Linked DNA regions of Schizosaccharomyces pombe. The protein of the gene in region 2 purifies or fractionates together with the protein of the main gene of each other region. This does not show direct contact. Each region holds a gene or a part of one and is shown on either strand. Other genes may lie near its edges.

Evidence for each region.
Region 1: the proteins of dli1 (region 2) and SPOM_SPBC19C7.04C purify together in Schizosaccharomyces pombe (affinity purification with mass spectrometry, with the first as the bait; one study listed by BioGRID). This does not show direct contact.
Region 3: the proteins of dli1 (region 2) and sec10 purify together in Schizosaccharomyces pombe (affinity purification with mass spectrometry, with the first as the bait; one study listed by BioGRID). This does not show direct contact.
Region 4: the proteins of dli1 (region 2) and syp1 purify together in Schizosaccharomyces pombe (affinity purification with mass spectrometry, with the first as the bait; one study listed by BioGRID). This does not show direct contact.

The regions. Positions count from the first base shown.
Region 1 is NC_003423.3:2,824,751-2,831,152, forward strand, and holds SPOM_SPBC19C7.04C (uncharacterized protein), read right to left. Parts: upstream 1,923-6,402; 5' UTR 1,317-1,922; coding exon 942-1,316; 3' UTR 501-941; downstream 1-500. Other genes in the region: cyr1 (adenylate cyclase), read left to right, coding at 1-336; protein Rcr1, read left to right, coding at 5,439-5,891.
Region 2 is NC_003424.3:4,733,833-4,740,661, reverse strand, and holds dli1 (meiotic dynein intermediate light chain Dli1/Dil1), read left to right. Parts: upstream 1-1,764; 5' UTR 1,765-1,807; coding exon 1,808-1,883; exon of another isoform or gene 1,884-1,921; coding exon 1,922-2,065; exon of another isoform or gene 2,066-2,107; coding exon 2,108-2,332; exon of another isoform or gene 2,333-2,378; coding exon 2,379-2,473; exon of another isoform or gene 2,474-2,514; coding exon 2,515-3,057; 3' UTR 3,058-3,181; downstream 3,182-6,829. Other genes in the region: phosphatidylinositol 3-kinase Pik3, read right to left, coding at 1-425; TTT co-chaperone complex LRR repeat subunit Tel2, read right to left, coding at 3,194-5,800. UniProt on the Schizosaccharomyces pombe protein: Component of the cytoplasmic dynein which acts as a motor for the intracellular retrograde motility of vesicles and organelles along microtubules. Promotes oscillatory nuclear movement and efficient pairing of homologous centromeres during meiotic prophase.
Region 3 is NC_003424.3:2,179,724-2,188,182, forward strand, and holds sec10 (exocyst complex subunit Sec10), read right to left. Parts: upstream 4,747-8,459; 5' UTR 4,654-4,746; coding exon 4,591-4,653; exon of another isoform or gene 4,545-4,590; coding exon 4,466-4,544; exon of another isoform or gene 4,413-4,465; intron 4,245-4,412; exon of another isoform or gene 4,237-4,244; coding exon 2,202-4,236; exon of another isoform or gene 2,146-2,201; coding exon 2,044-2,145; intron 2,001-2,043; coding exon 1,844-2,000; 3' UTR 1,727-1,843; downstream 1-1,726. Other genes in the region: mpd1 (thioredoxin family protein), read left to right, coding at 349-1,440; zf PARP type zinc finger protein Hpz2, read right to left, coding at 5,142-5,559, 5,749-5,828; SPOM_SPAC1783.01 (methionine synthase reductase), read left to right, coding at 7,831-8,459.
Region 4 is NC_003423.3:3,120,354-3,128,515, forward strand, and holds syp1 (cytoskeletal protein Syp1), read right to left. Parts: upstream 6,369-8,162; 5' UTR 6,349-6,368; coding exon 6,307-6,348; intron 6,266-6,306; coding exon 3,851-6,265; 3' UTR 3,649-3,850; downstream 1-3,648. Other genes in the region: alpha-1,3-galactosyltransferase Otg3, read right to left, coding at 1-4; alpha-1,3-galactosyltransferase Otg2, read right to left, coding at 933-2,051; tif306 (translation initiation factor eIF3f), read right to left, coding at 2,545-3,453; DNA-directed RNA polymerase I complex large subunit Nuc1, read left to right, coding at 7,546-8,162. UniProt on the Schizosaccharomyces pombe protein: Multi-functional protein that contributes to the endocytic process, but also to events that occur at the neck during cytokinesis.

The DNA.
Region 1 (6,402 bases), on a different chromosome or scaffold from region 2:
GCAAGATTGAGTGATTCAAAATCTGTCCATGGAGAGGAGGGTGGTTCTGGGAAGAGATCGGTTTCATCCTTGCGCAACGTATCACCATCAGAGAGTACTGGTGGATATGAAGGTTGTATTTTTGATGACCAACAGTATCAATTACTTTATGAACTTTGTGAGCGTCTTGAAGACCATGCCGCTATACTGCATGGGTTTCCTGAACCACCGCCTTGCGATACCGGTCTGGCAGCTCCCGTAAACCAGGCCGAGGAGTATTCATTGTTCTACCGTCTGACTTTGCGTATCGAGAATACTATTTATTGTGTCAGTCAAATGCTTGGACACACTGGCTAAATGAATGCATATAATGACTGCTATATTTAAATAATGTTTAACCCCATAAATAGTTTATATATATATATTTATTTTTTGTATATATAATTTGCATATTTTTAATAAAATTTTTTTTTTTTTTGCTATACCCTAAAGTTGGAATTATGGAATACCAAATTAACGTACGTGTTTCGAGGCAAATCAACTTTTATTTACTATTAGTAAACAATAAGAAACTGAACAACGGAACGACAGTAGACTGATACAAAAGTAAAAAAAAAGAAAAATTGTATTAAAGAAATACGAAATAAAATAATTTTCATGCAAAATGGTATAGGAGTAAAAAAACACAATGGGGGAAACTCGGTATAACACTTGATAACAATGTAAACCCCAAATAAAGATAAAAAAAAATGCAAAATAGAAGAAAAATGAAAAAGAAATCGTAAGAGTAAGATCGTAACTAAACTAAAAATACAGCAAAAAAATTTGGAAAGAATGAAGCAATAAAAATACTAAATAAACAAAATTGGAATCAAAACACTTGACAGCCCGGTATAAAAAAACTTGAGAAATGAAAGATAGAAAAAAAATAAGGAAAAAGACGGAGCTTCAACAATAGTAGTCTAAAGCCTAGAATGACGAGAAGATGTCTTGGAAAGATGTCGAGAGAGACGTTGAGTCAACTTGCTTTCCATACTGGCAAACGAAAGTGGTCGGAAAGAATCGGCGGTTGGACGATATTGATTCTGTTCACGGTGAGGTTTAGTCTTGAAATTTTCATCGCAATCAATCAAGTATTGCCAAGCACGAACAGTATCGAGAGGACGTTCATAGCGCCAACGAGTGGGATTATTCTCATCGGGTTCTTCAATGGAATGACCGTAATAATCCTTCGAAAGTAGCGAAGTGGTGGGTACTTCCTTGTTAGTTTGAGCCATTTCATATGGCTCAAGCTCCGTAATGGCAGTTGATGGATTGATTTTAGTAACTTCAGTCATTTTCCCTATCCAAAGCTAATCAAACTAAACCGCGAAAAAAAAAAAAAAAAAGAATGGATGCAAAGACGCACAAAGGTTTACTTCCTATCACTGTTGAAGAAAGCAAGTAGGAAAGATGGTATTTTGAGAGGAAGATAATGGATCTAATTGAAATAAAAAATTACAAAAGCAAGACCCTATTCCGCAAAACAAAGATTGACGCAGTGTTCAAATGTTTTTCAAATGTTTCTTCTATACCTTGCTATGCTTTTAGCTGTTTCGAACGATTTACAGTGGACAAGCTAGGACTTTGGCTTGAGAAGGAGTTGTTTGTTTACAATGCACCAAAAGTAAATAAACAAATCTTTCAAATACGATTGATTTGATTAGACGAGGAAATTTACGATTCCAACCGATGCTCGGTATTCGAATTAATGAAATAAACCCAATGCTCTACAACTCGCTAAAAAAATTTGCGAGTTGAGATAAAATACAGAAAAGGAGACAGACAAAGAGGATAGAAACAAAGGATGTTTACAATTTATAAGAACCGTATCAAATCTGACACAACACTACAACACTTCAACGAATGCTATAAAAGAAATTGATGGATAGCGATATGTCTATGAGGATCCAAGGAGAGCTTCCCTTGCCATTTATAGGAAATTTGAAGAGGCACAGCCATGCCGTATCGCTCTCTCCAGACATTATTGCGATGTCCCGACTAATTGAAAATGATGTAATTAAGCGCGCAGAGCCAGATAGAGATGTATTAATCGAACCAATCATCACGTCTCATTTGAACTGATCCCTTAGGCCCTCAGGGGATAAACAACCTAATTATCAAGTACCATATCTGGTCATAATGTCCATCTAGAAAAATCGCATTAGGGGCTCGATTGCCTAGGGAATTTGATCTCTGACAATAGACAGAGAGAAAGGCGCAATTCGTTACCTTTCGTTAAGAGGCGTAAACATAGTAAACGTTGATGGGGTCTTAGTATTAGGAGTAAGGATGGAAATGTGGAAAGGGAATTGCATGAGAATTGATGAAATTAACGAGCAACTTATAGGTCGTCGATCATGTTTCACTGGAAGATCAGTTGCTAGGATTTTATTCAAGCATCGGGTATGCTTGCGCCTAATACGGAACTGTTTCCAGCATTGCGATATATATTACCATTAACTCTCTCTTTCTCTGTGTGCTGGATCAAAAAACCTAGAGTGCATTGGACAATATCCTTGTAACGCGTGGCGCGCTGGTATTCTGTATTCCGGATTCCGGATTGTCCCTTGTACGTCAGTGCAGTACTGCGCAGTGTAGTGGCATGCGGCAAGCGGCAAGGTCGGCGTTTTGCATGGAAAGGAAGGAATCAACAATAAATTGAATGGAAAGCAAGGAGATGGAGAAGTTTTGTAATTCCAATGCCAAACATATGCTTTTCTAATGTGAAAATGTGAAAAAGATGAGAGAGGAAACGAGGACGATATGGGTATTTTGGTGCGGTTATCGCTGTTGATTATGGAATAGACGGCTTCTTAAGCAACTTTTAGAACCGAAAACAAGCGGATGAGATTATTACTCAAAAAAAAAATAAATAAAAAAATAAATAAAATAAATAAAAACAATATGAAATTAAAAAAAAAAGATTTGAATTGAAAAAAAAAAATAAATCAATAAATTAAATTAAATTGAAAGGATTTAAAATGGTACAATTAGAAACCACTTGAAATGAATATAAAAGAATAAACTAATAACGGAAAATTTTCCTCACTTCCTTAAAAACAGATTAAGAAATAAAAAAAATAACCCATTCAAAATAAAAAAATATTCATTCATGTTGTTCCACTACGATGTTATTTTGCGCTGTCTAGTTTTTACATAAACATTTACAATTACAAATTCATTTGACTCTTACACATTTCGACTGTCTCATGCGTGTATTTACTGAATGTCGGAATTTTTTTTTAAACTTTTAGGCATTTCGCTACTGATGCTGTCAGAGGCTTACACTAACAAGCAAGGTTGCTATAGAGTCCATCTATTATATGCAATGAACATGACTTGGATATTTTCATATTACGCACATTCATCAATCATCATGTCTAGGCTTTTCAACATTGCGAATTTTTGATTTCGCTACTTACAGATCATTTGTCGCTCGTTGTACAGAACGAGTACCAAAGCCACTTAGCAACACTTACGTTTTGGGACGATGTTGTTTCACGCATCATTTTCAAGTGCTCTCAAATCCTTCAATACTACCTAATAAGATGTTTCGTGGCTTAGTGAAATTTCCAATCGCAGATGGTTCAAAGGAGGCACACACACATTTTTTTTCAACAATTTTTTGGTTTACTTGTTGAGATAGTGTTCTTAACGTTACTTGGAAGCCATATGTAAAAAGAAACAAAGATGTCTGTGTGCGCCATGAAAGTGGAAACTTGAAATCCCATTAAACAAAACATTATAAAGGAGGAATAACTATTTTATAATTTGACGACTCCTTTTTTGCTCATATACTTAATATGTATCTTTATTTTATAAATTTTATTACAATACATTCATATATTTATTACTATTTTACTTAATTTTCATACTTATTCTATTTATTTATTTTTTAAAATCTACGTTTTAGTTGTAATATCTGTTTACTCATTTTCTTTCCAAATTAACGTAGTTTCTCATTTATTATTTTTATTATTTATTTTCATTTACTTTTTCTTGAGCTGTATTGTATTTTTCCCATTCGCACATGTATCTCTTTTCATTTACTTACTAGAACATTATCTTTTCTAGACAAATAAGTATAAATGAATTACTCTCCATAACAAGGGATAAAATATATTGAAACATCTTTGTATCTTAAAATTTAATATTCAATTCTGTACGTTTCAAGCAAATAACAAAAACTATGACTTTAAAATGTACATTTCAAATATAACCTCGTAACCTCTCTCTTTAGACAAAGCTAAAAATCTATTTACGCTTACACAGCGTGGAATTTGGGTCTTAAACTTATAAAATACTCCTTTCATATTTTCTTCTTTTGAATTACAAAAGTTTTTTGGTTCTCACAAAAATGAAATAATATCATGACTTCGAAAATGTTCTTTGCTAATAAATATTATTACCACTAATTGACTACATCGCTTCGTCCGCCTTTTCCTATTTATTTATATAGCAGCTAGTTCATTCGTATATCAATTTCATCATATTTACACTGGTAAATTTCGAACATGTGTGTCGTCCATACATTCAATTACAAAACTTGCATATTTGCTTTTAATTTTAATTCACCAATATGATGTCTCAAGTTTGTAATGTATTGCGATAGTACTACAATGTTACTATAGTATTTTCAATTTCTTATTCATCTGATAATTTGTTACATCTTCTATTATGTGCTAGTGATTAATTAATGAATACACTCGAGCGCCAATAAACAAGACAAGCAGGCGATCCAAAAATTTACAATGGAAACAGATATTCAAAGTTAAATCAACACTGAAAGTCAACAGATAAATGACTTTGCATTTTTACGTTTAGAACAAAGATTTTCAAACCTGCCCAGCCAAGCTGGTCAGCCGTGTCGACTAAGTTAGCTTGTCCCAACTTTACGCACCTTAATCCATCGCCTTCGGTAAAATGCGACAACAAGGTGGCTCAGATGCACAGTTTGTAAATCACATTATTTATCTTCATCAACCTGCATTATTCTAACTTTAGGAAAACCAATTTTTTTTTTTCTTCTTTCATCCAATCTGTTTTGTGTTTTGCTTTCCTCTTATTTCTCAAAATCAAATATACAAACACATCTGATTGTTTTTTACATCGTTACCTCTTGTAAATAATAGAACCACTTGAGCCATAAACGATTAGTGTTTCCCTACTGCCAACTCTTCTTTTGCCTATATTTGCATCAGTGCAATTTTGATTATTGTTGGTCATACATCTTGTTAGAACGGTTCTGAGGCCTTATTATCGTTGTGTTCCTTGTTGTACTTTGTATCTTTGTGGTGTTTTTCAAGCCCTGTTTCTACAGCAGTATTGCCATTGTTAGTGGTGTTTTTTCATTCTCGTTCTCGCTTTTTAGTTTGTTTTCAAAATTTTTAGACCACATTCTCTTTTTCTGTTAAATAATGAATGACGATAGCAGCAGCAGTAGCAGCGGCGATTCCAGTGACGGGAGCAGTGGAACCACCATTGTTCAAACCAATTCATATCCCTGGTCAGCCTATGGTCGTTGGGTAGTGGTGATCATCTGTATTGCTGCACTGATTTTCTTTTTCTTTATCATCGGTATCATTAATCGTCGTCGTACTAAAAAAGGACAAGCTACTATTCCATTCACCAATTTTTATCCTCTCACTGCTCCTCCCCCTTATACAGCCGAACCTGAAGCCCGTTATAACTCAACAATACATAATCCGATGCCCCCCATGTCCCAAGCTTATCGTCCTCCTCCCACCGAACCTCCTACCGTTCCAGCTTACGAAACATCCTCCGAGTTTCCCCCTCCTGCTTATCCAGAAGCGGCAGCTACTTCAGATGCTGCTTTTCGCAAATACGATGGATATGCTAAGCTTGGGTGATTGTCGCCAGGTAAAGCAGTTCTTTTGTACATCTAGATCGTTTTTGGAATTGCATAGTTTTCCTCCCATTTGCCTGAACTCTTGCGTTTTCTAATCTCTCTCCTTGTTTGTTCATATGGATGGCGTGCGGCTCTTTTCTAGAGTTGATGTTCATATGTGTTAGTCAATTTATCTGGAGCATTTTTCCTCTAGACATGCACAATCCATTGGGTGATTTAATCATGAATTATAGCTCTAATAAATTGACTTCACTTCCTAATTGTAGGCTTCTTCTCTCACATTACTCCTCCTTTGCTAATCTCTGATTTTAAATTTCTTTCCTTTTTTTTTTAACTCTATGTTATTCCGTTTCTTATCTTTTTTTATATTTAATGTCCTTTCTTCAAATTATAAAAAAGCAAGCATAAGAGATTTAATAGCTTAATACTTTTTACTGTTTCTGTTAATTAAACTAATTCCCTCGGTTTTTATTATATAGTACTTTTTTTGGTGAAGTTTATGTTAGACATTG
Region 2 (6,829 bases):
TACTTCTTTATTTCTTTTGAAGTCTGTAAAGGTATTTTTTGGAGACCTTGCCTTAGTAAATTATTTTCATCAAAAAGTCGATACGTTGTACAGCCCACAAATTCATAGACTTCCTCATCATTAAAGGATGGTTTCCAGGCAGACACTACAAATTTTGCGTTCAATGAGAGCTCAGAAACGGTAACCCCAAAGTCGAGCCACTCATGAGTTGATATCTTAGAAAGCTCAGTAGGAAGTAGACTCTTATTTGGTATTTTTGAAACGAAACATTTTTGCATTAAAGATCCTGATTCATTCCCTGAAAACAATTGAATGGTGCAAATGCATGGTTCTTGACTATCTTGATATTCAATGAAGCAAAATTTAACCAAGAATCTGGCAGTCACCTTGCTTGAAGGACAATATGAAAAAACAAGTCTATCCATTCCATATGTAAAGCATTTATTTTTTGGAAATTTCACTTTTTACCATACAAATAATAGCCTGGGATTGTTAATGTGGTGGTGTACTAGCTTTACTAAATGTGGTAAGACAAGAAAGGCTGTAGCTAAAGTACACGAAGCAATGATGAATTATAATACTGTGGAATTTAAGAAATACTTCGTAAAATAAGTACAAAATGCTGAATACGGTATAATAATAATAATATCTCATAATCTACTACACAAGTGTTTTTGCTGTAATTTTTGAAATACAAAAAATAGGACGCATTCATCTCTACATCTCGATGTAAAGTCAAGTTTTGAGTGTCTGAACATAACACTGTAAGCAAAGCTTGAGGCGGAATAAATGGTAAAGCCGAAGAAGCTAAAACTGCTCTGAATAATTGATCACCTATACCCTCTATGCGCTAATGGTGTTTTATGTTTTGTGTTTGCTCACATTGAATTAATTATTTTTAGTTTTCAAGCACCGGAACGACTAGGAACTAAGCAACAATTGCTGCTTGGTTAACAATACGATCAACTATGTGGTTCATTCAACAGCACATAATCTTTTGCAATAATTGATATAAATTCACACTTTCTTGAAATATAAAAAATACAGTTTTATGAATTAACGTTGTTGTAAAAGAAGACCTAACAATTTGCTTAAAAGTGAACGTAAATAACATTAAATGATAAAAATGAATGTTTTAATATTTTATTTTATCTGGTAATTTTTTAAAAAAATAAGTTCGATAAAATAACAAGCCTGTAGATTTACTGTCATATATTCATATAATATTCGGAGCAAAAGCATATTAAAAGTCTGATAATTTTAAATTTTTATTTAATTGTAAAATTTAGAACGAACTAATTATTAATCTTTCATAATAAAACTAATTATTTTATAGAGGCCCTATTTTAGTATCAGTTTATAAAAAATACGTGTCTGCGTAAACCAGTGGAATTTTCTCATAAGATTTTCCTGTTTTTAAATTCATAAAAAATTATATTTAAATCTTAATTGACTTCAATTTGCGGGATTCTCTTATCGGTCGCTTTTGCAAATTTATCGTGAAAGTGACTCAAAAGCTGTTGGCATTATTACTTCACCAATTTAAAACAAAGTTGAGTGGGAATTTTATTCATTTATTTTAATTCTATATATTATGAAGATTTTGCTTTAACCTCGGGCAGATACATTATTAAAGAATATGTCTAGCATACTAGTACTTGTAAAAATATAACGATTTTCATTGTATTATAATAAACTTGAGATCTGAACTTCGTCATCTAAATGATCCCTTTTAGCTAAAGTTTAATCGTTTGTCTTTGACTTGTGCCTGAACACTTTTATTAGTGAACTACATAAATAATTGCATATGGATGAATTATTGGAAAAGTTGCTAAACGATCTCAAAAAGAAGGAACCGAAAGCATGTAGTATTATATGCATAGGTACGCTCCATATTGAAATTCTTATTTATCATGAATAGGTGAAGACCTCGATATTATACAATGTATGAACGAGCACGGATGTTTTAGCGGGGGAAGTTATTCAGAATTATCAAATGATTGTGAAACTGTAAATTTTCGAGGAATTGCTTATAAGTGTTTCTTTACAAAGGATCAAGTGAAAGGTACGCGATTAGTACGATTAACCAATTATCTCATGCTGCTAGTAAACTTTTGGCAAATTTCACATTTAACTGGTGGACTATTCAATTTTCTTGTTAGTCAAGCTTTAAACGAGCATGGATTGGATCTGTTATGGATAATAATGGTCGTAGCGCAGACTCTTTCCGCGTTAGTTTCCTTTCCGGAGAAGTTATTAAATATACTTCGGAATATGAAAACAATTCTTATAAATACCGAGGAAACTGTGAGGAATCGATTTGAAGAGTCTCGTAAGATTGATTGAACTCAATTATCCTGTTAACTGATCTGCTTTAGAGAACAAAAAACTGGTAGCTTTACTGGATAAGAACTCGACAACATTGGATATAAGTAGTGGTATTCTACTAAACTTTACGGTTGTTCTGAAACAGGTAAGATACCCTTGAATACTTGCACATTTACTAATTTGTAGTTGAAGCATGCTTTAGGCTTGCATACCTCAGTCGATAATTCACAGGAATTTATTTTACAGTTTTTGCGAACGACACTTTTATCCGTACCAACGTCCTCAATTGTTTCTATCTCAGCGGACCCAACAAGCTGGAATAATCTCAACGTTTTAATGAAGTATAATTTTATGTTTCAAAAGTTTAAACCTCGAGATTTTCATGCTCAAACAATTCAATCAGAAACTATGTTTATACCTCCTTGTTGGGACACTATCTCTAAAATACAGAGTGTCAATCATGAATTTAATATCGCCCTTTTTAAACAAACCGCTAAAAATTTTTACGATACTCTTGACATAAGTTTATTACTTGGTTTATTTGATAAGAGTATATCGATGTTGAACTGTCATTCCTCAAAAATATCGGATGGAGATATACCCTACAAATCGCACCAAGTTTTTTTGCAAGAACTACAGAACAAGTATAGCGAGATTAAAACGTATTCTTCAAACAAATTAAATAAATCCTCCATAAAATCAAGTTTGTGGAAGGACTTAATTCAATAATTGTAATTGGCCTAAAGACATTCATTATTATTACAAAATCATATTATTTAATTAAAATGCATTAATGAGTTTCTGTCAAAATTTCAACCTCATAAATAATATTTTTTTTCTTTTAAATCATGACCATAAAGAACTATTAAAGTCCGGCTAATCCAAATCGCTCTGGAACCAAAGGAGCTGAGTCATCCAGTAATTTTTCCAATGCGAGCGTTCTGAATTCTGAAAGTTTATTTTCAAATAGAATTAAAACAGCTGCTGAGAGTGACTTAACTTTCTCACCTTGATCAGGGCTTTCAAAAAGAAACTTAGTATACGCCTCAAAGAAGAGCAAATGCTTCCCAAACTCATTAGCTAAAGTACGCCCAGAAGATATTTCTAAGATAGCCAAAAAACTAAACAAAAGCCCTTCATTAACTTCTGGAGTGTCTGATCGAAGTCGGCAGACCTCATTTAAAACGTCAACATATTCCCGGAGCATTCTGTTTGCCCCTTCTATCTTTGAGGTAAAAGTTTCAAAAAAGAGAATACCCAATGTCTTAAGATAGTAGACTAAAAACAAAGGCTCAATAAAAGCCGTTTTCCTAGATGCCAGCATATAACCACTGGTGAGGAGCAGGAACAATGATTTATCTACCTTAAGCGATAATCGATTGGCCTTTGGGAGTGGCTTTTTCGACTCGATTTCCGACTGCTTTGAAATATACCGTGTCTGTAAGAATTTCGGTCCCTCCGCATAATCCTTGCATTCACTCATTACCGGAAAAACTAATTTCCTTTCTAATTCATCACTAATCTTTTCAATAGTGGGTGAATAAAACTGATCGTGTAAATTTCCTGGAAGTAACTGGCTGGGAAAAAGACGTTCATTATCATCATCGTTGAATTTGCTAGCAGCTAAAGAAATACAAGATAAGATAAGTATTTTTTGGCGCATTGAATAGTCACTAACAAATAAATTTGTACAAATAACAGGACCACATATATCTAAACAGGTTAACAGAAGTTCCACTATAGCAGTCATTTGCATTTCATCAAAGTTCATTAAGTCAAATCGATTTTGTAAGGAAATTAACGTTTGTAACAATTCATCTGCATGATCTCGTAATTCGGTTCCAAAAGCAGACTTTCGTTTTATTAACTTAGAAGCGTTTTCCAGTGCAACACGTTGTTTCTCAAAACTTTCTGTGTCTTTTAACATTTTGCACAAATCTTGTACGTACACAGGAGAATGCGTCTTGGATCTAGAGACAGTTGGATCGTCGTCCGTGTCCTCACTGTCAATATCAGGAAAATCGTAAGGCTCCAAGTCATCTCCCCTTATTAAGTCATCGTTTTTAGAAATCACTGGCTTCTCCAAGTGAGTTACATTCGTCTCTTCCTTTTCTATCGAAGTCTCTGCGATAACACTTTCGTCATTCAAAATTTCAATAGGCAAAAATTCATCCTTGAGTGAGCTCAACGATTTGAGAACTTTTGCTTTCGTAGTCTTCATTATTGGAACGTCAAAGGCTAACGGGTTACTTAAGCTGACACCCGAATATGTAGAGATTACTTCGGCCATTATCATTCCATGCATTCGAATATCATCATCTAGACTATCTAAACGGCAAGATATTGCATTGGAGAACATTAGGGATTTGGAAAGATTATTCAAATATTTTGCTTCAAGTTTCGGAATAAATAGTAATAAATATATTGTTAAGCTCTCTTGAGCTAGCAGCGTATAGCTCCTCAAAAATTGCGCATTTGACCATATATTAAACAGAGAGTCCACTGTTTTTTCTAGCTCCTTTTTATCAGATTCCTTATAAGATATACTCGAACAAACTACTTCTACCCTTTTAATTATTAAATTTGTAGGGACGCCCCAATAAAATTCAATTAATCGAAGGAAGTGAGTGGATGAAAAGTTCAGCCTTAATAATGTAGCCAATGAACCTGTTATACGATCATCTCTTGCGGTGGAATATGAAAAATTGGTGGGATATTTGGTATTATGTTCAAGAAGAAGTTGATTGAGAAACAACATTTGATCAGAGACCGTCAAATCTGCAAATAATTTTTGTAGCTGAACACAAAATTTTTGTGTTAATGGAATCAATGGGTTAATGAATGCCTTTAAATTGGATGAGTGTAATAAATAATGGAATAGCTTTGAATATATTTCTGGGGTTTTAACAGCAGGTTTAGATATAATGCAAGCCAATTTTGAAGATAAAACGCCAATGTAGTCGGCCATTGATGAAGCCTTCAAACGTTTTGAATCATCGTAAACCTTGAAGGTAAGCATTGCAGCAGACATTGAATTAGTAATTTTAAAGTTTCCCAAGAAAAAAATAAATTCAGTCCACAAAGATTGCTTTTGATGATCAGATAATACAGTAGATTCCCATATCAATTTACAGTTATCGTCAAGGTCTATACATTCAAATGCTTTTTCCAGTAGCTCAAGATAAACTGTAACAAGATGAATGTTTTGCAAATTAGCCTCTTGAACAAAATTATCTAGTCGAACACATAGCAGTTTTAAGCCCAAAAGAGTAGAAAAACATTTTGCAAGGAGAAAATCTATTTCTGAATTAATTTTCCCATTCCAGAATGTGGGCACTATCACACTAATTAACTCATGATATAATCTTAGATTGCAAGGAGAAGGAACACCTATATGCTGCAGTTCTTTAAGGATTTCTTTTAAACGCGGCTTTTGAATAGGTTTGGATAGTTCGCTAGCAAAGGATTTCATATCCTTGGAGTTGAAAAATAACCGAATTATTTTGGGGTGTTGAGAAGACAGTAACCTTCGGTGGATTAATTCACCGGTCAGCAATCAGCAATATGCAGGATTATAGGCTGCTTGGCTAAAACAACACCAAAACTCTTTACAAAGTATATAGTTATTTTTAATTTGTTGTCCATGTAAATTACTTTAAATTCTATTAATTGTTTTTCATTCTATAAAGGTAATTTGAACTCAATTCATATAGTTTTTTAAATTGTGCTCTTAAACTTCCTGAGAATGGTGTATGCAACAATTACATGGGTAGCATCGGGATATTCTGTGAAACCTGTAAAGCTCTTCGATGTATTATTTTCACGGACTTTTCACAGCCTGAAATTGAATAGGAACTTACAATTTACGTGACAGAAAAAGGATATTATGTATAATTTAACTTAAAGACATTTTGTGCTTATATGCAATAGTTGTAACAAAAGAATGGATAGTTATGCTTTCAAATTCGCTTTCTATAAGTGAAGTATCCTGTTGCTTTATAAGACTAGTTGCAATATTTCTATTTGCTTTTAAAAAGCAAGTAACTTTTAGTTTAAAACTGTTTTTGTGTACCTCCCAAATTAAATGTTAATGCTCCGCTAATCGGTAAGCTAATCCGTGAGAAAAAATGCATTAATTTTTCTTGTTTCGTTCAAGTCAACACATTGCAAATAAAGGTCACTAAATTTACAATTCAGGATTTTTAAATTGAAATATTAAACATAATACGTGGACGAGTGCAAAAAACTACCAGTTTATTTAAATAAATAAAAAAAAAATATCATAACATGTATTATCGTAATCTTTTCCTTAGACTGCTCTTCACACGATGTCTGAATAACCGTCAACAAAAAGCTATTTATAAAAATTTCAGAAACAGGTAGTCTCCTTCACAGCACTGCGAACGAAAACTCTAGGGAAGCAAAACAAACGGAGTTTATCTGCCTTGTTATATACTCGTTAAACGACAACTCAACACACACCACTATCCACCACCAACAA
Region 3 (8,459 bases), 2.6 Mb from region 2:
ATTCAGATTTTTCTAGTGTCTTGACATACTCTACCTATTCTATATCAAAATGATGATTTCAATAAGCCTTATAACTCATTGATTGACTAAAACCTATTATTTCTTCTAAATTTTCTCGTGACATATGCTCACTCAAACCTCACACTAAAGTGGTTGTCGCCGTAAACCTCTCGATTTTTCCATTCACCAACTACTTCCCATTGCATCGATCATTTGTAGCTAGGACGTATTTCTTATTTCATTTTCGCCAAACGGTTTCTATTTTTTTTTATTTCTTCGATTTTCATTTTCCTTTCTTTCATTCACCTTACTACCCTTAAAAATACGCTGGACAAACTACACATCATTATGCTCTTCCGTATTCCAACTTTATTTACGCTCTTTTTGGCTTGCTTCAGCCTTGTATCCGGCGTCTTTGGCTACTCACCAATGTTTGGATCCAACACGATTGAGTTAAATTCCAAAAATTTTCGTAAATTTGTAAAAGCAAAGGGCCCATCTTTAGTTGTCTTTTATGCTCCGTGGTGTGGTTATTGCAAAAAGCTTGTACCTACTTACCAAAAATTAGCCAGCAATCTACATTCACTCTTGCCGGTTACTGCTGTCGATTGTGATGCTGATCAGAATAGGGCCGTTTGCTCTCAATACCAGGTACAGGGCTTTCCCACTATAAAGTTGGTTTATCCATCTTCCAAAGGATCTTCTCTTTCCTCTACTGATTACAACGGTGATCGAAGTTACAAGTCTCTCCAAAAATTCGTCTCTGATTCTATTCCCAGTAAAGTCAAAATTTTGACTTCTGAGGCAAAAACTCAAAAATTCATCCAAGATGCTCAAAACTCCTCTAAGGTAATTCTCATTTCTCAAAAAATGAAGCCGACTTTGCTGTACAAATCTCTTTCAAATGAGTTCTCGAGCTTACCTTTTTCATTTATGCCTGCAAAAGCTAATGTGAATGATCTTTTCAATATTTCTGCGTATGTTGACACCTCCGATTTACCCATATTATTCATAAAACACCCCAACAATGGAACATCTTTTTTTTCAAATTCCTTAAATCGGGATTCTATTGTTGAATTTTTACAATCTTCAATTAAAGATAATAATTTTTCAGAATACTTAGCAACTTTTTGCTCAAAAAAATCCTGCATTATTACAATTCAGGATAAGGACTCGGATTCTGGAATAGACGAATCTATTAGGAAAAAGTACCCAAAACTTCACTTTGTACGTCTTGGTCGAAATACAACAGTAGCCGAAAGACTTGAAGATACATTGGACCTTGGTTATAGTGACACTTTTCTTCTCAGTCTTAAGAAATCTCATTATAATGCTAAGCCCTATGGAAAACCTTTACGCCGTTGGTTGGAAGATATCCAAGTACAACAAGCAGGACCTTCAGTGTCTTTGCCAAATGACCTCTTATCAAAGATTAAATAAACACACTTATTGTAATGTAATTTTGCACTTTGCAGTACAATATGTTACTCTCTTTCTACTCACTCGTTCTCGTCATTGCATTTTATATTTTGTGTGAAGCTTTCCTTTACATGAAGCTTAAGCACTTTTAAAAGCTATTTTTTATTTAATTTAAAATAAAGATGTTATACATTCGTATAATTCCTTTTTGTCTCCTTCCTTTAATGAATTATTATGCTCGTCTTGCTAATTTTATATTTCAAATACAGATTCACTAAATGAAACTTAAATAAAGCGTTTATAAAAAGTTTGAGAACGATTTTCTTTACAGAAAAAATTATTTATATAATACACTATAAAAGATATTATGTTTATCTATAGACAAATTACTTCATAATTAAGACATTAACAAAAATGAGCGATTTCAACTGCTCTTTGGGGGCAATAAAGCTTCTTCTTTGTTCAGTTGCAACTTCAAGTTTTCAGGCAAATCAAAACGTAGACGGAGAACTTCATGAATGTTCATTTCACTAAAACCTGCTTTACGCTTGTCTTGCATGACTGCTGGAAGAACGTCAATTCTAAATGTTAACAAACTTTCTCTCCTAAAAGATATTCACTTACTTGACCATAAGTAAACTTAATAATTGAAGTATCAACTTAAATTTCGCATCAACGGTATCAATTCCCCAACTAGTCAAAGTAGAATGGAAAAAATTAATATCACTAGATAAAGTCAGTAAATTAATCACTTTCGATAAAAAACAAAAAATTGTGCGTACTTTTGCAACAACAAAGCGCCAGCCGCTGTGACTTTGGAACGAAAAGCAAAACTTATAAGCATTGCAGCAAGCATTGTTGCCGTCTTTTGTTTTAAGGCCAATAACGAGGGATCATAAGGTCCTAATCTATGATATAGGTTTTTTATATAATCTAAATAATTTTGAACATTCCTAGTCATTGATTGACGAAGCTCGGTAGAAGAATCAATTTGTTCTTCTGTCATAGCATAAGAAATTTGCCTATACGGACTTAAAATAATTTCCAAATGGTCTCCTAGTGCATGCACGGTCGCGTAAAATACATCATTAACGGCACATTCAATAACGGAGATTGAGGAACTTAGAATGTTAACCGTTTCTCTTCGAGATGACGCGGTCACTCCAGTAAACGGAATCACTATTGACATTAAATATGCAGAAAAATATCCCATAATTTTCTTACATTCCCTAATGTCCACTAGGTAATGAAGATCCAAGTTTTTCGACTTATCATGTGAAGAGATGTATGATTGTATAGATGAAAGCTCCTTGAATACATAATCTTCGCGTATCAGTTTATCCAAAAGGTTCACAAGCGAAGATATTACAACTGACAAATCTTGGCTTGAAATTAAGATAGACGCCCTATTTAAAGCCTCTGCATGCCAGCCAATAAATGAATATACTTTTTCCGAATTAAGATGGCTATGGTTTTTTTCAATGGTAATGTAGTCTTCAGTAATGAATGAACCACTTTGTATTAGATTTTCCTGAATGTCAGCAATCCTCAAAAGGAATCCTTCAGTTTTTGTATTAAATTGGGAATGGACTCCGGTAGGCGCAACCATATTGCCTTGTAGAGGAGTCATCAGTGATCTTAACAGACCGGGCTCTGGAGTTTCTAAGCGAATTTTGTAGCTTGTATATTTGTATAAACTTAGTCGAAATAAAGACCGTAAGGAATGTTCCTCACGCTTAAGATAATCATCAACTTCAATAAACGGAACCAGTAAATCTTCCATATATTGATTTAAAGCAAGAGAGAGGGGGGAATTATCGGATACCGAAAACCCTCGATTTTCTAAAATCGTTTTAAGATCGGCAACAAGTTTTCTTAAAGAAGAAACAACTGTCTGGAGTGTCCTCAAATATGCAAGGTTTGACTTCCCTTTAGCAATCTCCATCACTTCTTCTAACCTATTTTGAATAGACTGACCAAAAATTCTTTGAAAGAAAGTTTGGAGAACCAATTCGGGATTAGGGAAAACACGTTTAATGACCGCGCAGTCACCTTCTATAACAGAACATAATTCACTAAATAAAGAAGATAGTGTTTGAATTAGCGGTGGTATTTTCTGCGTTGGATCTGGCAAAATCAGCCATATAGGGTCTTGTTCTAAACCTTGACGAGATTGAACCTTATCAGCAGCAATGAAGAACTCATGCTGATTAACGAATTCACGTACGACAGATGCACCACCATTAAACTCCTGAAGTATGGTGCCAAAAGATGCCATACCCTTCCAATTGGGCTTTCTGTATTCGTTGTTAAAAAATTTTAAAAAATTTGTCTCTAAAAACTCGGAAAATTTTTCAATTCGTGCCAGCGTTTCGCTCGAATCAGGAAGATCAACTTCATTAGCAAGCGCTAACAATTGTCTTGTCCTTTGCGCACATAATAGCATTTTGTCGTGATTATTGGTACGAAAAAAATCCATGAGGGTTTGTGGTTTTCCAGACCGAAATTCCAAATAATACCTCAACAATTCTGCTGAAGATAAAATTCTTTTACGGTTATTTTCCGCCCGTTCTAATTCTTGGCCAGCATCAACTAAACCGCTGCGCATGTCATTAACGTTATCTTCCAAATGCCTTGATAATTCGAGGACCTGTGCAAATTTTTCACGTAGATGATTAGATTTCTGGTGATACTCATTTTGAACTTGCTTTGATGCTGAAGCATAGTCACGTATCCTATCACCAACTCTAGACTTTAGCCGATTCAATTCATGAAGGCATGCCGCAAATGATTTGATAGACCCATCAATTGAAGATACTGAAACATTCTGTTAGTAAATCATACCTATATAATAAAATATGTAACGTATAGTATTCGAGGTATTATTTTTTTGGGCTATTATAACTGTGACAGAAGTAGGAAAACCATAAATCGAAAGTAAACCCAAAATAACAATAAGCTCCAGCGATTAAAAAAAAGCTTTTGAAATACTTAGGACACGAATGAAGAGGAAATGGTTTCGATACAAAACAAAATATTAACTTACATTTTTTAGAACCATCATTTTGGGTCTCGTAAAGGGACTCAGCAAACTTCTCTACGAACTCGGTAGAAGGAATTCCTTTCTATAATCTGTTAGTTGAGAAAAGGGCAAAAACGGGATTCGGTTACATTGTCATTTAAAGAATTTAATAACTTTATCTGGGAATCATTCAACGCGTTTTTTGTAGACATGTCTTAATAGACAAGAAATTTTAAATCTACAATTCTCGAATAGAAAAGTAATGATCAAAGTTTCCTTTGGTTTGTAGGTGATGGGTTATCACTAGGTTCTATGAAGTGGGTCATAGCGAGAGCATAAGTGAAATAAGTAAACCGAACGTGTCATGAGAAACTAATTAGGTCCAATTTTTATATAATGGTACAAACTAATTGCTCATATTTATTTTCATAATTATTTTTTCTACTACTCTGACACAGCTACTCAATATATTTTAAACATAAACCAGATCATCTCTAGAAAATTGCCAAAATCCGGTTTGATTCAACAGACAAAAATATGTAATTTAATCACTAAGATTGTGATAAAGGATGAATTTTTAAATAGTGAAGGATAATACACATTCATCCTTTTCTTCGTCATGATAAGTTCTTTCATAATAAATCGACAAATTAAAAAACAGAATGCGATTCCACGAACAAGCAAAAAAAAGTAAACATTTTCAATCATCTTCATAAGCTTCTGATCCATCAGTAAATTCAGCATCCAAATCGGAATCACTGAGGACCGATTTTACAGTTGTGTGATGCCTCTTGTTTTTACGTACCACTTTAGGAGGAGAGGAAGTTTTTAATTTCTGTGAATTAACGTTCATTTTTTCTCCGAGCTTTCTACTTTCACGTTCATCACTTTCTGAAACATGGCCTTCATTAATTGCATCAACAACTTTATCAATCCATTCTTGTGAAAGAGCGGTAATTCCATCTAAACTGTTGACAATGTCATCTTCTCCTAATCTGTTTTTTATGTTTTTTAACATTCTAGGAGTAACACATCCCCAGTGTTTCCATGCCCAACTCTGAAATCTACCAGAATCCACAAAAGTCCCGAATCGTACAGTTCCAGCCAGTATTTTTGACCTAAATTTTTGTCAGTAGAAAAGAAATATCTCTACAATATTAGACATGTAAATAGCGTTCTGTGATGGTTTCCAATCGCCTGCCACGAAATCGCTAAAAACAAATGAAGCAATTTTATCGAAAGTACCATCAGCTGTACTGAATTTGCGCTCATATCTCAATTGTTTTCAGTTTATGCTAAAACCTTACCGACCACATAAAGAGCCTTTGCATTTTGCACGGTTGTTGGGTGCAATTTCTATGCGATATCCACTTCCACCCTGTTCCATTAATGTGCAATGTTCGTACTGTAATTTCTTCAATACTTCTTAATGTTTCGAATTGAACTGAAGATAGAATAAAATTACAAAACTTAAGTTTATTTTATGATCAATCTTGATAAATGCAGCTCCTGATTCTCAAGTTTGTTTAAAAAACAATATGGGGATTCCAACAGATAGAAACTCGTGATGATATTTCTCAGTAGAAAGCTAATGTCCAAAAATATGAAGATATTTCAATATCTTAACCTTAAAATTAGTTCGAGGGAAATGCCAATTTTGCTTAATGTCAGCTTTAAAAGAAACTAAGCCAATTCTTAGCTATTATAGAGATAATAACAACATCCCCGAATACAGTATAAAGGATATAGCGTGTAACATTGACTCATTGAAAGCCATGATTAGCAAACGAACACCTTCTTACAGTGTATTATCTACATGGTGGATGGGATTGCTACCCGATGTTTTGACAACAAGGGGTGATTTTATACCAGTAACGTAGTAGCGTTTAATTTCTATCAAAAGGAACTCTTCGATGAAAAAAACAGTTGATTAAAATCAATATAAGTAAATAAATCGTGAAATATCAGACCTTATTCTAGTTAGTATGAAGTAACTTGAATCTTTGGATAAATTTTACGCGTTCAATCTTGATCTGATAATTTTTGTCTTACATCATGCTACATAGTGTAGAGCTGGGAATTCTAGATTATACATTCAAATCTTGTCAAACATTTGCGCTTTAAGAGCCTTTTTTATTCCTTTCATCTTTAAAGTTGTTTTTTTTTTCTTTTTTTTTGAAATTGCAGGTTCTTTTACAATAGGTGCTTTGTCAGGTCTTAATCAACATTATTTCCTTTTGAGCATCTTCTTTTTCATTCGTTTATTTAAATTAAATATATCAGGTCTCTTAATTGATTATTGTTCCTAATAACTTGGCAAGTGGACCGAAATATCTTCATGTACTCTGATGATTTTCCAATTGAATTTGATCCAATGCCAAGTGCTTGCTACTAAAAGCGTTTAGCTTTAAAGATCAAGTTAACAAAAAGACGAAGACAATTTTATTAGAATTTCTTATTTTGTTGTATTAGAGTACAATGAAATATAAACCTTTGACATATAAGCACTCCATTCGAATGATTGTTCAAAAAGATACCTTTCTTTTTCATCTTTTTGCTCAAGTGCTTGTAATGTTTGCATTATTCTAAAATACCGGTGTGTTTTATGATTCGTTGTTCTGGTTAGCAATGCTAGTTGTGTTATAATACATTGCGTTGAGCATCACCATATGCACATGTCCTAATCATTCATCGTACCATGTATGATACGATATTGAAATTAATCTTAATGACAACCTATTAAAATCTATGTTATCTGAATACCATAAATAGGGTACTGCTGAACCTCGTTCCTCAGTTCAGTTATAAGCTGTATTAGTGATAGGTAACATTATAACCTAGATAGTATAATACCTGTACTCAGTCGCTACTTATATTACCTGCGTTTCGTAATATAATAGGTCACAAGGAAAACTCACCGCAGTTTACGTATCGTTAAAGCAGATATCAAACTGCGTAGCTGACATTAAATATGAACAAACATTGTTACACGGTAATTTTGCAATTTTGGCTCTGTGTACAACAAAATTATCTGATCTTCACCAACTTTGTCACATCACCCAGTTTATGAAAACTTGGCTAGTTTTGTAGTGAATTTTGTATTTTCTTAGGTTTGTATAATATAGGAATCAACCACCGGGCTCAAAAAAACTTACTGGTGTTTGAATTGCAAGTTTCCGTTTGAAACTTTTGCCCATCCCGTTATGTATTATTCTTCCCAATAGTGGATTTATTTTATATCATTATACCTCTTTCCAATTATTTTTTGCTTTTTGAGACGATTATTCTTGTTTCTATCCGCAGTTTTGTTTTGTTTTTTGGAAATTACTTCATTGAATTGACATTTACAAAAATATCATTTCCATATCTCAACTCATCGTTCCTATACTATGATTTCTCATGTACTCGTTAAGGATACGTCTTGTTTGAAGGTTCGGACTAGCTATAAATGTTTTGTCAAATACTTCCCGAAATGCTCTGTTCAAAGTTCCTTCCATTCATACGATGAGTTAGCTTTCTCAAGGAGGCTATATAATCTACCAAGGACATTACTTAACTCTCGATATTACAGCAATCATTCTCATGGGCTAGTCCATGGATCAAAATCGCCTCCTTCATCACAATTTTTAGTACCCTCGTTTCTCCAATTTAATGGACAACTGAAAGCTCTTTGTAATAATTCAGCTTTTCAAGCTCTTCCTATTAAACTTTCCGATCTACAAAAGCATTGGCCCTCTTTAAAACCCCATCCTTTGCCTCCAAAACGAGTTTCCCTGGGCATCCCCTCTATTTCCAATCCTCCTGTAGATACCGTTATTTCTGATTCTCCTACTTCTCCTCATCCTCCTTCTTTTGTACAACCTCATCCTCCATATGGTATTTTTGCGGCCCCTATCCTTGATGTACGAGTTCTCACTAACCCTGGTGCTGTCAAAAGAACTTATAATTTATGCTTAGATATCTCGAAGTACCCTTTACTTGAAGGGAAAGATTGGAAAATAGGAGGTTCCTTTGGTAT
Region 4 (8,162 bases), on a different chromosome or scaffold from region 2:
TCATATTCTATAAAGCAAATTTTATCGCTTTCCGCAACTTCGTTTATAGCTATAAAATCCCCACCAGAATAATAAAAACCCTAGGATTATAACTGACTATATCTCGTTAAGACTTGCTAGGTTTAATACAATAAATATAATGTAGTTTGTATTATTGAGTTTGGTAGTGGCTGACTACAATTTAGGAGACTAAAGGTACGATGTAATGCGTACGAAGTATAGTTTTTCATGTAAAATTTTAAGATTATTTGAGTTTACAGTACTTGTTATTTGACATTAAAAGGTTTAAAAAATTTATCAATTACTTGCTATTGATATTTTCTATCCCATCTTCACTCTATCTAAAACCAAGCCTTCTTTGATATATATATTTAAAACAACTTTTAAATAGATTTGCTACCTAAAACATTTTCAAATGTCTTATTGAAATCTAAAAATGAAAAACATGCTAAGGATACGTATGCTCACTAATTAGCAATTTTTATATAAATCCGTTGGTTTTCCTTTGGTCAAAGAAAAAGCATTTATAACATGTTTGCTTACAATTTTAAAATTGATGATAGGACTAACACTTGATTCTTTACACTAATTAGGAATTTTTTAAGAAGGAGCAAAATTTCTTGAAACCATTGAACTTTCAGTGAGTTTTAAACATACGTGATCTAATTTGCATACAGAGAGGAAGCTATTTTTTTGATTATGGTTTACCTGTATCCAGAATCCCATCGATCGTGTATATGAATTTGAATAGTATAGTGGTTTTAAAAAAGGACGGAGGAAACACAAATTATTTTAGAATGACTGTAAAAATGAGATAGCCTTTCAACAGTACGTGTTGTCAGCAATACATTAAATGAAAATAACTGCTTCTTAAAAGTCAAAAGCCGCCTTATTTTTTACTTGATCACGACATGAAAATTGCTTTCATCTGTTTAATATAAATCAGCATTACGTTGTTGGTCATGATACGTTTGCATTTCTTGAAACGCATCCCACCATAGCTTGGATGTGTCTTCATCATAACCTAGACTTCCTTCTGGTTGCCAATGTTTTCCATGAACTGCTTTTAGATATGGTAAGTCATTTTTTCTAGCCCAAAGTCCGTTAAAAGTCCAATCAAGTGACTCCCATGGAAAAGCACCTGCTGAATTGTATGCAAAATTTAGCAAACTTTGCTCCATCATGTTTGCATTATCATACAATTTTGGAAACCTTGCTAATGCCATTAACCTTTTATAATGTGCCTTCAATGGCTTAAAGACGAATAGACCAGCATTAAAATAATCTTTAAAAGGAGGAGGAGTTTCATGCCACATACCTGGATCGGACACAGCAGCGAAAACGTAGGGATAAAGATCGTCTCTTGTCAGCCCGTAAGCTGCAAACTCTTCTGTAAAGCGTCTCCAAAAAATGCTGCGCCTAGGCTTGTAGAATAGGGTGGGAGGAAACAGAACAGAATCCTTACTATAGGAGAGTTGGTGAACATCAAAAACTTTGTCCATTTTTTTAATAGGCAAAATATCACTATCAAGAAAACATATTCTATCATATTCGTACATTTCGAAAACTCTCAACTTGGTAAACATCATACTCCATCGGGAATCCAGTAGGGCAATGTCATTGACATCGTCAACCACTTCATGAGCATATAGTGGATCGACTACTTTAACAATAGCTCCGTCTTCCTGCAATTGATCAAGCTTCCACTGATCAATTCCCTTCATGGCTAGCACTACAACGGGATACTTGCTTTTCGTAGGTTTAAATTTGACAAGTCGGTGAACGAGAAGCCTAGTTGAATTATAATACCAATCCTGTTGCGTATTTTCTACTTCGTTTTCCCCATTAGCGGCGCGTACAGTAAGCATAGTTACAAATGCCATCTTAGAAGAGGGCGCCAACCCTGTCAGTGTGTAAACTGACCTTTGTATTTCTGGACTATGATTGTATAGCAAAACACATTGCCAACCTAATAAAATAATGCTCAAGGTAATCAGTAAACACAGTCCTAGTCGTTTGGGATGGCGAAAAGCACTAAAATATAAACGCATTTTAATGGCAATTGATTGCCAAATTATAAAATGGTGGTGCTTTCGGAGAGAATTACTCTACATACTCCCTTAATGTTTGTTGGTGCATCATACACATTTTGCTTACTTTCAATACCAAAACAAACTCAACACCCTGAAAAACAAATAACATAATTAAATCGACTTTATAACGTAAAAACATCAAATGTTTAAAAATTAAACAAGCTTACTATTTTAACTATAAGAAATGTTAAGATACATGACTCTGACTTAAAATTTTCTCTTATTTAATAAGACGTTTAACCTAAACCAATTATAGTATAATACTAAATAGTTACCGACAAGCTAAGCTACTCAAACTATGTCGAAATGGGTGAATGACGAGATAAAGACAGTTGCTTCCACTGAGGGTTAACAGCCAGTGTGAAAAAAGGATAAAATAACGGTGACTTGAAAAAAGGGCTATCGAACAACTGTTAGAAATTGTCCGGATTTTTTAGGTTATAACAATTGCTTAGGGAAGCAAATTAAGACGGGAAGCAATATCCACTTGAGTACGTAAGGTATTTGCGAGATAAACTACAACCAAAACATCTTGAAGATGTGATGAAAAAATTTTTTCAAAATCTTGGCCTTCTACGCAAGGAATTAAACTAAAGCACTTCATCAAATATCTACCGACAGCAACATTAGCAGGCGAAGAACCATCAATTACGTTTTGCACATAATCGGAAACTCTTTCAATCATAGATAAAAGCTCCAAGGTTGATCTTCGAAGTTGCTGGAGATCTGTGAATAGGCTAGCAAGTCTAGATGGGTCATTCTTAGGAGCAGCTACAGCTTTCAAACCAGAACGGACTGCCTCGTCATCACGAATGGTAAAAGGGGTAGGGACGAATGCACAGCTGTCAGCAAGGCGCTCTGTAATACCTACTGGTGAAGAAACGTAAGTCTTGATGGCAAGGGGACTGCTAACATCTGTGTTGACAGTAAGGTGAACACAGGGATGAGGATACGTTCCTAGTGGAGCAGTTCCGGGTTCAGCAGGAGAAGCATATAAATTTTGAATCAGTGCACTGAAAGCATCTAAATCAGGAGAAGTAGCATACCAACCAACGACAACTTCACGAGGGTTAGCCTTGAGGTGTAAATGGTACATCGCACGATGATATTCCATTTCAACTTCTACCTGCTCACTGCTCTCATTATGAGGAACTGCAAAACAACTTTTAATCTCAATTTCTCGGCCATCTTCAGAACGTGTTCCCAAAAGTGTACCGATAACACGTTGATTATTTTCACTTTTCCGGGTTGAATGGTCAAGGATAGAAAAAAGCACTGCTGGTTCAATGACAATGTTCAAAGGACTTGACCTGGAAGACGGTTTTGTGAGATGGAGTACGTGCTTAGTCCCCAAAGCCATTTTTTAAAATTTTCACGTTGTTGGCTACTCTCAGGTAGGTAGATCTGGTATTGTTCCCCAATCAATAATAATTTTACTGTACTAGTTTACAGTCTCATAGAATTCGTTAAATTGAAGACACTATTTTTCGCCTAACTTCTAAGGTTTACCATTTAAGAAAGTGTATTTTCAGTTGCGTTGAATAATCTAAAAAATCTCCTTAACAATGTCTCATTTGTACGTACAATAATGAGAAACTCTTTATTCAAAATTCTATAACTATTTACATTTGTACATTCTCTGGTTAAAAATCATTTATATATATATACAATGTTCAAAAAATTCGGTTAGCAAAAAAGTGTAAACATAAAACCCAAAAAAGCAGTTTGCTTTTTCTTGACTAATAATGAACAGTAATTTAACTCATATCAGCAAAAACAGAGCACTCACGAACATGAATACCATAGGAAGTAGGAACCTTCGTTTCTTCATAAGCACTTTCTAGCTGAGAACCTCCACTAGAAGAAGTAGTATCAAACATATCTGGTTTCAAAAACAATTTGGTGAGACCAGGGTTATTAGAGGAATCAACCATGCGAATACGGAACTCGATAACTGGCTTTCTAATAGCAGCACTAGGACTAATCGCAAACTTGGCTAAAATTTTAAATCCAGACGAAGATATATTAATGTTCGAAAGATGTAGCTTAAGTTTACTAGTTTTCCTGCTAAATTCTCCGGCCGGAGAACTTTGACAGCTTTTTACAAGGACATTTTCCCCCAAGTAAACGATGATAACAAGTTTTTCAATATGAAGAGATGAGCCTAAGTTCCTCCACACAGGATTAGGCTTCACAAATGCAATCATACTACTACTGCTTTCATCATGCTTCCATTTCTGAACAACTGTCAATGGAATGCAACTAGCACCGTTAATACTATCAAGATGTAGATTAAAATCAGTGACTTTGATTGGTGAGAGAAGTAGCTCTGGTATTAAAGAAAGTGTGTTTTCTGAGGGTCCATATTTTACTGCATGGTCATTTAAATGAGTAAAAGACATAGGAAATTCAGACGCAACGCGAACACCCATTTCAGGAGGAGGGGTATTAAAATCCGAGGTATATTTCATGAATATATGACCGGAACAGGAAGGATGAAGAAGGCCATCTTCAGATAATTCACCAGAATACTTTTCGACGATTGAAGCAGAAAGCCCGGAAGAATTTGGGAACTCAGGGTGCCATGTTGCAGTCGAGTCTGGTCCCGATTGTAATGATAAAGTAGACAAATTGGGCAAGCTACCGAGGTTTGATTCCATATAGTCAGACGATGCTGTAGCATAACGATCCATTGTCCCAGCACGACGGGTCCTTCTTGATATAGTGGGATTCTTTCGTAAAGTATTTGCTACCCTTTCAATTGCAGCATTGCTATCCTCGTTTTCAGTAGGCGCAGGGGAAGCCACCGCTGATGTGGGAGACGTTGTTGTTGATCGTGATTGCATGTTGTTAAAGTTCCCACCAAAATCATTGCCATGCATCATGATAGGATTCGAATGTGATGCATTCTCTCTATCGATCGATGAAGGGGTATTTCTTGAGGCTTCAGAGTGCACAGAATTGGGTTTATTAAAGGGGGAAGCCTTGGAGGAAATCTTAGGCGTAACCGTTTCTGCTTGAACATTAGGCTGCACAGGTAGCGGAGCCTCCAAAAAGGATGAGCGAACATTGTTTGCACGAATAGTGGCATCGTTGTCCTCGCCCTCGTCGGAAGTTTCATTAAAGTTTTGATAAGACGAAGCGTTATTATTAGTAGAGGGATGATCCCGAATTTGTGAAGAATGATTGGAATCATAATGTCTTCGTTCGATTGAACTATCATCTATATTCGATGGGTGTTCTTCAGCAGACGAAATACTCGAAGCTTTGGAGTTCTTATTAAAAAAAGCAGTTAATTTATTAGGGCGACCATTAGATTTATGCGAAGGCTTCTTATCCTTTTTAGGCATTATGGTTTTCCGACGAAACAACGTGGACATTTTGTTCTTCAATTTACCACCAGATTCATTTTCTCCATGACTCTTTTCCTCTTTAGATTTTCCATTGTTTATGTGAAAGCCCGATGACTTAGATGGTTTATTAGCAGATGCGGAAGACATAACTTTCGATGTGGAGTTCATGAATTGACGGATTTCACCTTCAATAGGTAGATCAGAATAAACTGCCATAGATTTAGAAAAAAATTCTTGCTGTTTAAGAGCCGTATCAGTTTCCAAACTTGCAATTGTCAGGTAAACTTGTTTCAATATAAGGAGGCGTTCCTCGTCAACAATTTGCAATTTTTCAAACGCTAAAGGAGCATCGGAATCCCAGGTTGCACGAGAAGCAGTGAGATCATTCTGACTCTTAGTATCCGCATCACGGCCTTTTTTTTTTAATCCCTTCAGACCAGGTACAGAAGACGATGCCATCTCCTCTGCAACTGTTGATAACCGCTCTGCTAAACGTCTAAGCGTAGCCGTTTGTGGTGAAGAAGTATAATAATCTATCAAAGGTTTATAAACTTGCGAAGCTATTTGTCCAATGATTTGACTGTGATATCTTGAAATTTCAAGGGTTTCTCCCTCGAGCTGTTTCCAAGCATAATTAAAAGCAAACGATGAATTGTTTTTTTCTTGCATGTTCATTGCAAGCTTATGTAATTGATCTGAGTATTGCCGTTCAATATCCATTCGCTCACGAATCCACTGCGAAAGCATGTCGTTGTCTAGGCGAACTTGCTCTAGGCGCTGTCGAAAGATCGACATGCTGTCGTTTGGAGAGTAGTTTGACTATTTGTTAATAAGAAGGAAATAGCTAAAATAAAGCTTACCAAAAACGCATCTACATACTCCGTTTTCGTCAATGATTCCATGGCGTGGTGGTGGTTAGTGTAGGGGGAATGCGACTCGATACATGACACTTTATTCCAAAATTGCAAAACAAATTGTTTATGGAGGATGATTAGTATTGCTATTAGATGGCTGTTATGAAGACATAAGAAAATATTTTTAATAAGGCAAAATTTTCATTTCTACATACATCAATATCGATGTTTCCGAAATATGCATAAATAAATTAATCGATTATTAACTAGTTAGCTGCTCAATACTATGGATTAGTCTCAAAAATATTTCAATTGAAAAGTGACCCAATATACCAACACATATTCGAACCGCTTAACGATTTCTCAAAAAACACAAGTTTTTGAATAAAAACATATAGGTAGTGAAATCTATTGAAACGTTCAATTTTTTTAAGCCTTCAACATACGCTAATTTCAAATCTGAGTTCTCACTACTATTATCGCACCTTTTTCTATTCTTTCGAAAACATACGTTTGAGCAGAGAAAAAGTCAGTAACAACTTCCATAGTATAAAAAAGAAGGAGATATGTTCAAAAATCAACAAAAAATATGAATAATTGTTCGTAAACCCATATTGTTACCATAGATGAATTTTACTAACTAGTGCTTATAAACGAAAGTTTTCTTTCGCTACTTAAGGTAAGTAAGCAGAAAACATTGAGAATGGCTTTAATTCAATTAAATTTAAAAATGAAGAGAGACCAAGATCAGAAATCCTAACACATGTTAGACTATTAAGGCACTTTATCTGAAGTGAAGTCTAATAAAATGTAAGCAACGAAAGTCAGTTGATTGATACCAACATTCCACTCGCATACAGTACGAATTCTCTAAATAACTCCAGTTTATTTTTATTACGACAATGAAACCATAATGCCATGGTTTAAGTGGTCAATATGTTAACCGTGTAACAATGAAAGTACATCGTAACGTGTTAGCATCAATAATCCGGTTTTTTCGGTTTGTTTATAAATTTACCGATGCGCTAAAATATCTAATTTGTAGTTTACCAAAAAATTTTACGTGTGTTATTGTATATAACGCGCTGTAAAATAAGTAATGAAGCTTCACAGCTATGCACATTGTAACGCATTTCACCGGACTTTAGCAAATTACAGTCTAAGGAAATTTTCTTTTCATACAGAACCAAATAGGTCTGTGGGCGGATTGCATGTGCCGGTTGTATACAAAAGCAAAATAGTACAATGAATATTGCACAGCCAGTCTCTTCGGAGATTAAAAGTGTGAAGTTTGGGATTTACGATGTTGACGATGTCGAAAAAATATCCGTCAAACAAATCGTAAATCCCGTTTTGCTTGACAATTTAAATCACCCTACTAACGGCGGATTATATGACCTTGCTTTGGGTCCATATCTAAAAAATTCTGTTTGCGCTACATGTCATTTGGATGAAAGATACTGCCCTGGTCATTTTGGTCATATAGTACTTCCTATTCCTGCATATCACCCTCTATTTTTTTCTCAAATGTACAATTTATTACGTTCAACTTGCTTGTACTGCCATCATTTCAAGCTTTCAAAAGTCAAGGTTCATCTTTTCTTTTGTAGACTCAAGTTGCTTGATTATGGTCTTTTAAATGAGTCAGAGATGGTGGAGAATGTCAGTCTTACTGAGGCAATCATAAAGAATTCTAACGGCACTCCACTTGAAGATGGAAGTGACAGCGAGGACAGTGGTCTTGGACACGATGATATTGCTAAAGATGCTGCAACACTTATGCGCATTCGCGATGAATTCGTTGCTAAGTCTATTGCTGACTCACGCCAGAACGCTCATATCGATGCTCAGTTGACTACACT